2 linked regions of the Oryzias latipes genome follow. The protein of the gene in region 1 interacts with the protein of each later gene in a biochemical or structural test. Links are inferred from orthologs where the notes say so. Each region holds a gene or a part of one and is shown in the gene's direction. Other genes may lie near its edges.

Region 1 (3,500 bases):
ATGACCAGCACCGGACTCGCCGGCAGAGACGGGAACCTGAAGGAGGGCGACATCATCCTGAAGGTGCTTTGGCCAAATCCAACCGTCTGCACCAGCGAGTGTGTCGGGTGTTACATCTCACGTGTCTCCTTCAGATTAACGGGACGGTGACGGAGAACCTGTCTCTGAGCGACGCCGGGAAGCTGATCGAGAAGTCCCGCGGAAAGCTGCAGCTGGTGGTGCAGCGGGACCGGCGGCAGGTGCTGATCCGAATCCCGCCCATGGTCGACAGCGACTCGGAGCTCGATGGTGAGAGACAGTCCAAACAGAAAGGCAGAAGGACCTATCTGGTGTGAAAGCACACTGTGCAAGTGGCTGACATCATCATCATCATCATCATCACCACCTCCATCTTCCTCTTCATATAGAAAGCCCAGTGCATGTGAAGTTCATTCTTAAACCAGCTTTGTTGCCATGACAATGTTGTATCTGTCAATCCAGTAATTGAATAAAGCTTTTGCTCACATCCACTTTAGTCGTACGCAAACATTATTTCATGTTCTGCAGAGCAGTACTAACACCAGACATCCACTAACCGTCATCAGGCCCCGCCTCATCGCACTCGCTCCTTTATACCTGGTTTTAAAGTCACATGACCAGATGGCACGCCGCCATTGGTCAAAACCAATCTAGATAAGTGGTGTGAGTTTTTGTTTGTTACGGGAGGGGGGGGATGGCCCTAAGACTTATGACCCACTTTAGTTCCGTGTGTGTGTGTGTGTGTGTGTGTGCACGTGTCTTCATGTGTGAAAATGTGCACTCGCCTGCAGCAGGGTGATCTAATCCCCTTCATAATCCTGCTGTTGCAGAATTTCATTGTCGCTGCAGAAGCTCCAAACCTTTTTCTTTTTCGTCCGAGCTTCAGAACATCCTGGAGTCGTGTGTTCACAGGGTTGATGCTAATCATTTAGCTGAGCCCCTGGCTTTAGAAGGCAACGCGTCTAAATCTTGATCATTCCTCTACATCCTCCAGGAGGGGGCGTTTGTGTCTGGTATCGCCCCCAGTAGACAATTTTCCAAATTTCCCATAGATCCAACCCTCTCCCAAAGCAGTTTGGAGTGTCTGTAACCAGAACACGCGTGTGAAGACACTGGCTTGTCTGAAGGGAGGTCACAACTTTCATCCTGTGTGTCGTGTTTTGCAGATATCTCAGAGATCGAGTCGAACCGCTCTTACTCTCCACAGGATGACAGACGAGGCCACCCCTCCGACCTCTCCTCCCACTCTTCCAATGAGAGGCTTAGAGACAAACCCAGGTACGCAGCCTTGAAGGCCACATTTCGGTGGCTGTCGGAGCTCGTCGTAATACAAGCTCCGCTTAAACTGAAACGGTGATTCCGAAATGTGGCTCTTTACTTCGCAGAGGCCTCTCCTCTGGTAGTTTAGCGGTGTGACGATGCATTGCATGGATGTGTTGAGAAGCCCTGAAAGGCTGTAGGTGCCTGAATGTAGCCTTCTCAGTCATTGACTTTGTGGTTTCTGCCCTTCCCTAAAAAGATTCTCCATTTTTAACTTTGACTGTTTAACCCAATAAAACCCACACCCATTGTCCCCCCCAAAAAAGCTAATTATGTGGGACAAAGTAGACTACAGAACACATTTCTGATGTTCTTCTGGTACACTGATGTCACCAAAGGTTCTTATGGGTTAAAGAGATTTAGTTTTGTTAGGATAACGCTCCCTGGTCGCCCAAAAGATTAATATTTTGTGCCCAAACGATATTTTTTTATTCCAAGCAGCTGACAGAGTGATTCTGAGACAGACCAGAGTGCATCATGGGTAAAGTTTACGTGTATATCTTTTCCACAAAAGCCAGGAATCAAACTACCAACTTTGGCCTTTAGAAGTCAAACGTCTAACAGCGATGACGGTTAATCCTCAGTTGTTGCAGAATCATGATGGACGTTTACAGGAAACGGCGTTCAGGCCGGAAGAGTTTTTCATCTGGGGTATCAAGTAAAGCAAAGCTTTACTTTAGTTGGAAATTCCTGAGCAGAATGAAACTCGATGAGCTGATTCGTTCTCTGAACCTTCAGAGGATCATGTCGAGTTGGAAGAAACTCTTGGTCAAAGAAACTCCTCTCCACGAGCTGCTGGAGGAACCAGCTGCTTTGCACAGCCTCTCAATACTCACCTGTTGCTTTTCTCAAACTATGGCAGACGATTGTCAAGGACAGATCCAAGATTGCTCCCAGGTGCAGGAAGAGAACTGTTTCCGTTTTCTCTTTAATGGAGGGGCTGCAACAAAAAAGTCAGGGCCCTTTTTTTTTTTTTAAATAAATCCTCCAGAGCTGCTGGATCAAAGTCCAAATGATCTCATAAAATACAGAACAGACATTACTGCACATTTCATACAGCTGCCTCCAACACTTCATCAACTGTGCAAATGAAAACGTTTAAATAAAGCTGCTAAAGTGAAATCATAAATCCACCGTTTCAAGTTTGAACTGCTTACAATCATAACAGTCAGTTTTATGCATTTTCGTAGTTGTGCTTCAAAAATACCAATATTTATTTAAAATACATTAGATTATGTACAGTGGGGGAAAAACTTTCTGTTTGTAGTTTGGTCTCTAATTTTCACCGTTGATAAACTACAACTATCAAAGACGGAATGTAAAATAAAAATCCAGCAGATAACATTGTTTGATTTTTAAAGAATTTATTTGTGTAATGATGCAGAAAAGTATTTATCTCCTAAAAACTAGCAAGATTTGTGTCCCTCACAGACGAGTTACTTCTTCTTTAAGAAGCTCTTCTATCCTCCACTGGTTACCTGTATTAATGTCACCTGTTTGAACTGGTTATCGGTATAAAACACACCCGACCGCACCCTTCAGACTACACCATGACCAAGACCAAAGAGCTGTCGAAGGACACCAGGGACAAGCGTGTAGACCTGAACGAGACTGGGAAGAACCAATCTACAATAAGCAGCAGCTTGCAGAGAAACTGTCAACTGTTATAAAATGGAAGATCACTGACGATCTCGCTCTACATGGAGCTTCCTGAAATATCTCACCCAGCAGGGAAGAAAAGATCTAGAGAACGGTGAGGAAACGGTCCAGAACTATGCGGAGGGCCTGATCAATGATCTGAAAAGAGCTGGGACCACAGTGACAAAGGTTACTATGGTAACACGCAATGTCGTCATGGATTCAAGTCCTGCAGTTCTCCAATGGTCCCCTTGCTTAAGCCAGGCCGGACTAAAGTTCTCCAGAAACCATCTGGATGACACAGAAGAGGATTGGGAAATGAGTCAGATGGAACCAAAATGTAAACCAAACTCCAAGTCTTTATTCTTAACTGTAAAAAGAACAACAACAAAACAATGAGAGGACCACTGCTGCTCTGTCTTTACGTCAGAGTAAATTTGAGACACTTCACATAAAGTTATGGACGACTCCTTCGCTCTTCCGTTTTTTTTTTCTTTTCTTTTTTCAACAAACATCGTGCCATT
Region 2 (4,053 bases), on another chromosome or scaffold:
TTGCTGCCCTGGTTTTCCGCCCCACATCAATCAGACAATGGGATGGGTTCTCCCCCACCTCACCCCTGTCCCTCTGAGCTGGCAATGCCTACTTGACCCAGCAAAAATAAAACATTTACAGCAGTGAAAACCAAGAGCCAAACTCTAAAGCTATATACCTTCGCTGTGCAATTTCCTTTTCGGTGACCAGATTCAACTGCCCCCCGACAAAAACATCACAAAGCACCACTAAAAATTGTTGCATGTGTTTTTCATTTGACGTATCTTTGCAACAGTCTTCAGTGCATGACTTGGTTTGAGGCAGCAGGCTGCAGACTTCATGCATGACTTAATAAATGTGTTGTGGCAGGGAGCTTTCTCTGCAGCTCCCAAAGGATGGGAAATAATTGACCATCTCTTCAAATCTGGTAATTAGGTCTGTTTAAGCTTAGTGGTTATGTATGGCAGTAACCGTGAAATGTATACAAACGCTTTATTATTTCATCCTCAGGTCGATCATCACTTGCTCTTTCCCTTTAACAGTTCCATTCATTTGAAAAGCTGTCAGTAACTCCCCAGTCTGGTTTGAGTTTGAGCCTTTTCCACGTCAGAACGGTTACTTGTTTGATAGCAAGTATTGCAGGCAGTTTCCAATGTGTACAGGAGGGAGGATTGTACTCTGGAACAGTTTGACTTTGGATTTTATCGCATTGATAAGAGAAGAAAACCTCACCCTCCCTTTCTCTTCCCCTGGCCACTTTCTGCTGCTCTCCTCAAAAGGCTGTGGAGGGAAGTGGAATACGCAAGAGTGGCGAGGTCAGGGGGAGTGTTGTAATAGTTTTGGAGTCAGTATCATGAGCCACAGCATTGTTTTCTTTTTTTTTTTATAATGACCTTCTATAAGTAGTGATAGTTTGATATGATATCTCAAGCATTTAAGCAACTAAACCAAATGTTTGGCAGATTATTTCACAATTTTTAGAATTTCTCTGTTTCAAAATAGTATATTAAATTCATTTAAGTATCTAACAAGGGATATGAATGTTTGTTGTAGCAACTCTGTGCTTTTAAGCTTTCCAAGTCTGGTTAAAGCAATTAGGGCTGGTGTCTAGTACATTTCAAAGATTAGTAAGGTTTAGCTGGTTCTCACATGGGGAGTGCCATCTATGACAGTGTGCCTCCAGGTTAATGACTCACAGAGACGCTGAGGACAAAGTTCATTCAAGCAGTCAAACGCCCGTAGATCTGCATTTGTTCAAACTAAGCTTTTATCTCTGGGTTTGTATTTTCAGGTGTTTGTCTTTATTTACTTATTTTTGCCTAAAAATTTGTTTTTTAGTCTGAGATTGATTGCTAATTCTACATGTAAAGAATATTCCTGTCGGTCTATGATTCAGACATTTTGAAAACAAACTGAAAAAAGTACCTTTTGGGGAACTGTAGTTGAGCTTGTTCTTTTTATGTGACTGAGTGTACATGCAAACAGAGCTATGTAAGGTCATGTTTGATAATTAGCAAGCATAAGGCTTTAGTTCTAAGTGCCTTAGTCGTATTAGTGTACACACATTGTTGTACAGCTTAATGCTTTGTTCCTCGAAAGAAAAATTGCATCAAATTACCAGTCAGGTGATCCTCTCTGATGTTCTCCTAAACGAATGCAAACACAACCTGGAATTGATGTTGAGGTAAAGATCAAATGTTGTCATACATTTGGTCAAGGACAGTTTGTTAAAGTGGAGGTGGAAGATGAAGGAGATTTTTTAGGATCTAATGCTCTTCCTGTTTTCTTTCACTTTTACTTTGCAGTGTAAAGCTGTGCAGGTCAGGTTACGTTATGGTTTTTCCCTCCACTGCTTCGTTTGGAATGCCCAGCATGCTCACACTACTCATTTAGCCTTATCAGTGAGCAAATGTTGAACGATAACCTGCTTCCTTTTTCCATTGCAGACAGACTTTGAGTGATGAATTGAAATAAAAAAGTTGTTTTTTTATTGTATAAGGTATGAGGATAAGTAATATTTAGTTATAAGCTGGAGTTATAAGTGAAAAATCTTTGTTCAGGAATGCCTAAGCCGACTTTTGTTGTTCTTTTCTGCTTTGCTGCCAGCATGAACACGCAGTCTTCAGGCCACAAGACTGCCGTCGACCATGGCGTCCAAATCCGATTCATCGACAACATTGGAGACGGTGGGAGGCACCCTGCGCCCCAGCCCAGGAACAAGCCTCCGAGCTCCTCCAAATACGGGGTAGCAGTCAGGGTGCAGGGAATTGCCGGCCAGCCCTATGTGGTCCTGAAAGATGGCCAGAAGGGAGATTCGTACGGGGTCCAGCTCAGGACGGACTATGGACCTGACTACCGTAGTCTTCCTCGGAGAACAGTCAAGCCAGGGCTGGGAGTGGAGGAAACATATGGAGAAACAGGAGAAGGGGGAGGCCAGGGAGGGGTTTTGCGCCGCGCTCAATCCCACGGATCACTGCTAGACAGAGATGGAGTGCCTGCCATCGAGGATTTTGAGCTGTCTAGACCCCCTGGGGATGGGAAGTCTGGTAGCTATGGGAATCTGGACGGAGGAATTGGAGTGAGGGGTAACAACGAAGAGACGTGGGCTGCGAGTGGCAGAGAAGGGCCTGTGGAAAGAAGAATGTGGGGAGGCTCTTACCAAGCTACCAACCTCAGCAGGTCACAGGAGTCCCTTAGGGACAGTCAGCTGAACCCGTACCCACCCCAAAAAGTACATGAGTTTCAAGTAAATCAGAGACAGAGTGCTTTCAGCAGGCTGAAAAACAGGTTTGATGGTGGAGCACCTGCTAGCCAGCAGAGTGGACTCCCTCCTGTACTTCAGCCTCCACGAGCTACATCTCCTTACACCAGCCAAAGCCCCTACACCTCTCCTCCGTCCTCCACTAACAGCAGCTTGGGTCGCAACCAAGGCTCTGTAGTTGCGTCCCGCTCCAGCAGCCAGTGGTCTTCAAAAGAGCGTCTGCAGGTGGACCTACCTGACACACGGGTAAGAACTCGTCGTTCGTTCGTGTTTGTGCGTGGCAGCTGTTTCTGGAGTGAGCTCTAAGCACCGCAAAGCATGCAGTATTGCAAGCAGAGATTTCTGATCTATGTCTGAAGGCGACCCCTGACCTTTTGCTGGACCAGGTTCAGAGTGCTGAGATGAGCAGTGAGGAGGAGCAGCTCATGAAGAACCTCTACAGCATCTTAAAACAAGGGTATAAACCTTGAGTTTACTCCCATATTCATCTGTGCGTTCAGCTAGTTGCAGCGTGAATGACTTGAAGGGTTTTCTTCCTTTTAGATCCAACGAGAGAGATGTTGTCATCAGACAGAAAGTTGAAGCAATTTATCTGAATCTCCAGAGCCTAAAGGTTTGTTCATTTTGAAACTGACAAAAATTCCCTGAGGAGTCCCCCCCCCCCCCCCCTAACAATTTAGTAGAACAGGCCTTTTACATGTATGTCTCGTCTTACACTCTTTTTGTTACCAGCCTAAAGAAAGCCCTCATGAAGAGTGGATGAGAGCAAAAAGGGAGCTGGAGACAAAGGTGGCTGAACTGCAAACTGCCCTACAGGAAGAAAGAAGGGTAAGTGGAGTAGAGATGAAAATGCTGGTAGGCCCTCGTACCTCTGACAGGAAGAAATGTCTGTTCTTTCTGTCCTTTAAGTCAGGTGTTAGACGATGTTTGTGTAAAACATGGTGTTTACTGTTTGTATGTCCTAAATCAGCGCTCCCCAACCTTTAGTGCACCACAGACCGGTTTGATGTCTTGCAAAATTCTCACGAACCGGTATGTTATATGTGGCGTGGCGGACACACGCTGCAGCAACGCTGCAATAAAGGCAGAGACACGTGATAAGACGTACACTGCACTTTTATTTTGACACACTAAACATTGTACATCGCACAAGTGTCATCGTCCTCTCTCCTTCCCACAGTCATGGTGCTAAAAAGAAGTAAACACAATAGGAAGAAATAACTAAGGGTGAAACAACATAACTGTCAGATGAAAGGACCCGTAGGCAAAAAGAAACACCCGTGCTCAACCAAAGCAGGCAAAGGGGATTGAT

Evidence for each region. The genes of interacting proteins can lie anywhere in the genome.
Region 2: the proteins of tjp2 (region 1) and cgn form a complex in vitro, tested with the Homo sapiens proteins (2 studies listed by BioGRID and IntAct, with this or other methods). The link is inferred for Oryzias latipes from reciprocal best matches to the Homo sapiens genes TJP2 and CGN.

What each region holds. Positions count from the first base shown.
Region 1 is NC_019870.2:25,463,487-25,466,986, forward strand, and holds part of tjp2 (tight junction protein ZO-2), read left to right. Parts: coding exon 1-63; intron 64-134; coding exon 135-288; intron 289-1,184; coding exon 1,185-1,296; intron 1,297-3,500. UniProt on the Homo sapiens protein: Plays a role in tight junctions and adherens junctions. Acts as a positive regulator of RANKL-induced osteoclast differentiation, potentially via mediating downstream transcriptional activity.
Region 2 is NC_019874.2:18,259,351-18,263,403, reverse strand, and holds the start of cgn (cingulin), read left to right. Parts: upstream 1-1,253; 5' UTR 1,254-1,271; intron 1,272-2,086; 5' UTR 2,087-2,087; coding exon 2,088-2,987; intron 2,988-3,100; coding exon 3,101-3,198; intron 3,199-3,284; coding exon 3,285-3,354; intron 3,355-3,473; coding exon 3,474-3,569; intron 3,570-4,053. UniProt on the Homo sapiens protein: Probably plays a role in the formation and regulation of the tight junction (TJ) paracellular permeability barrier.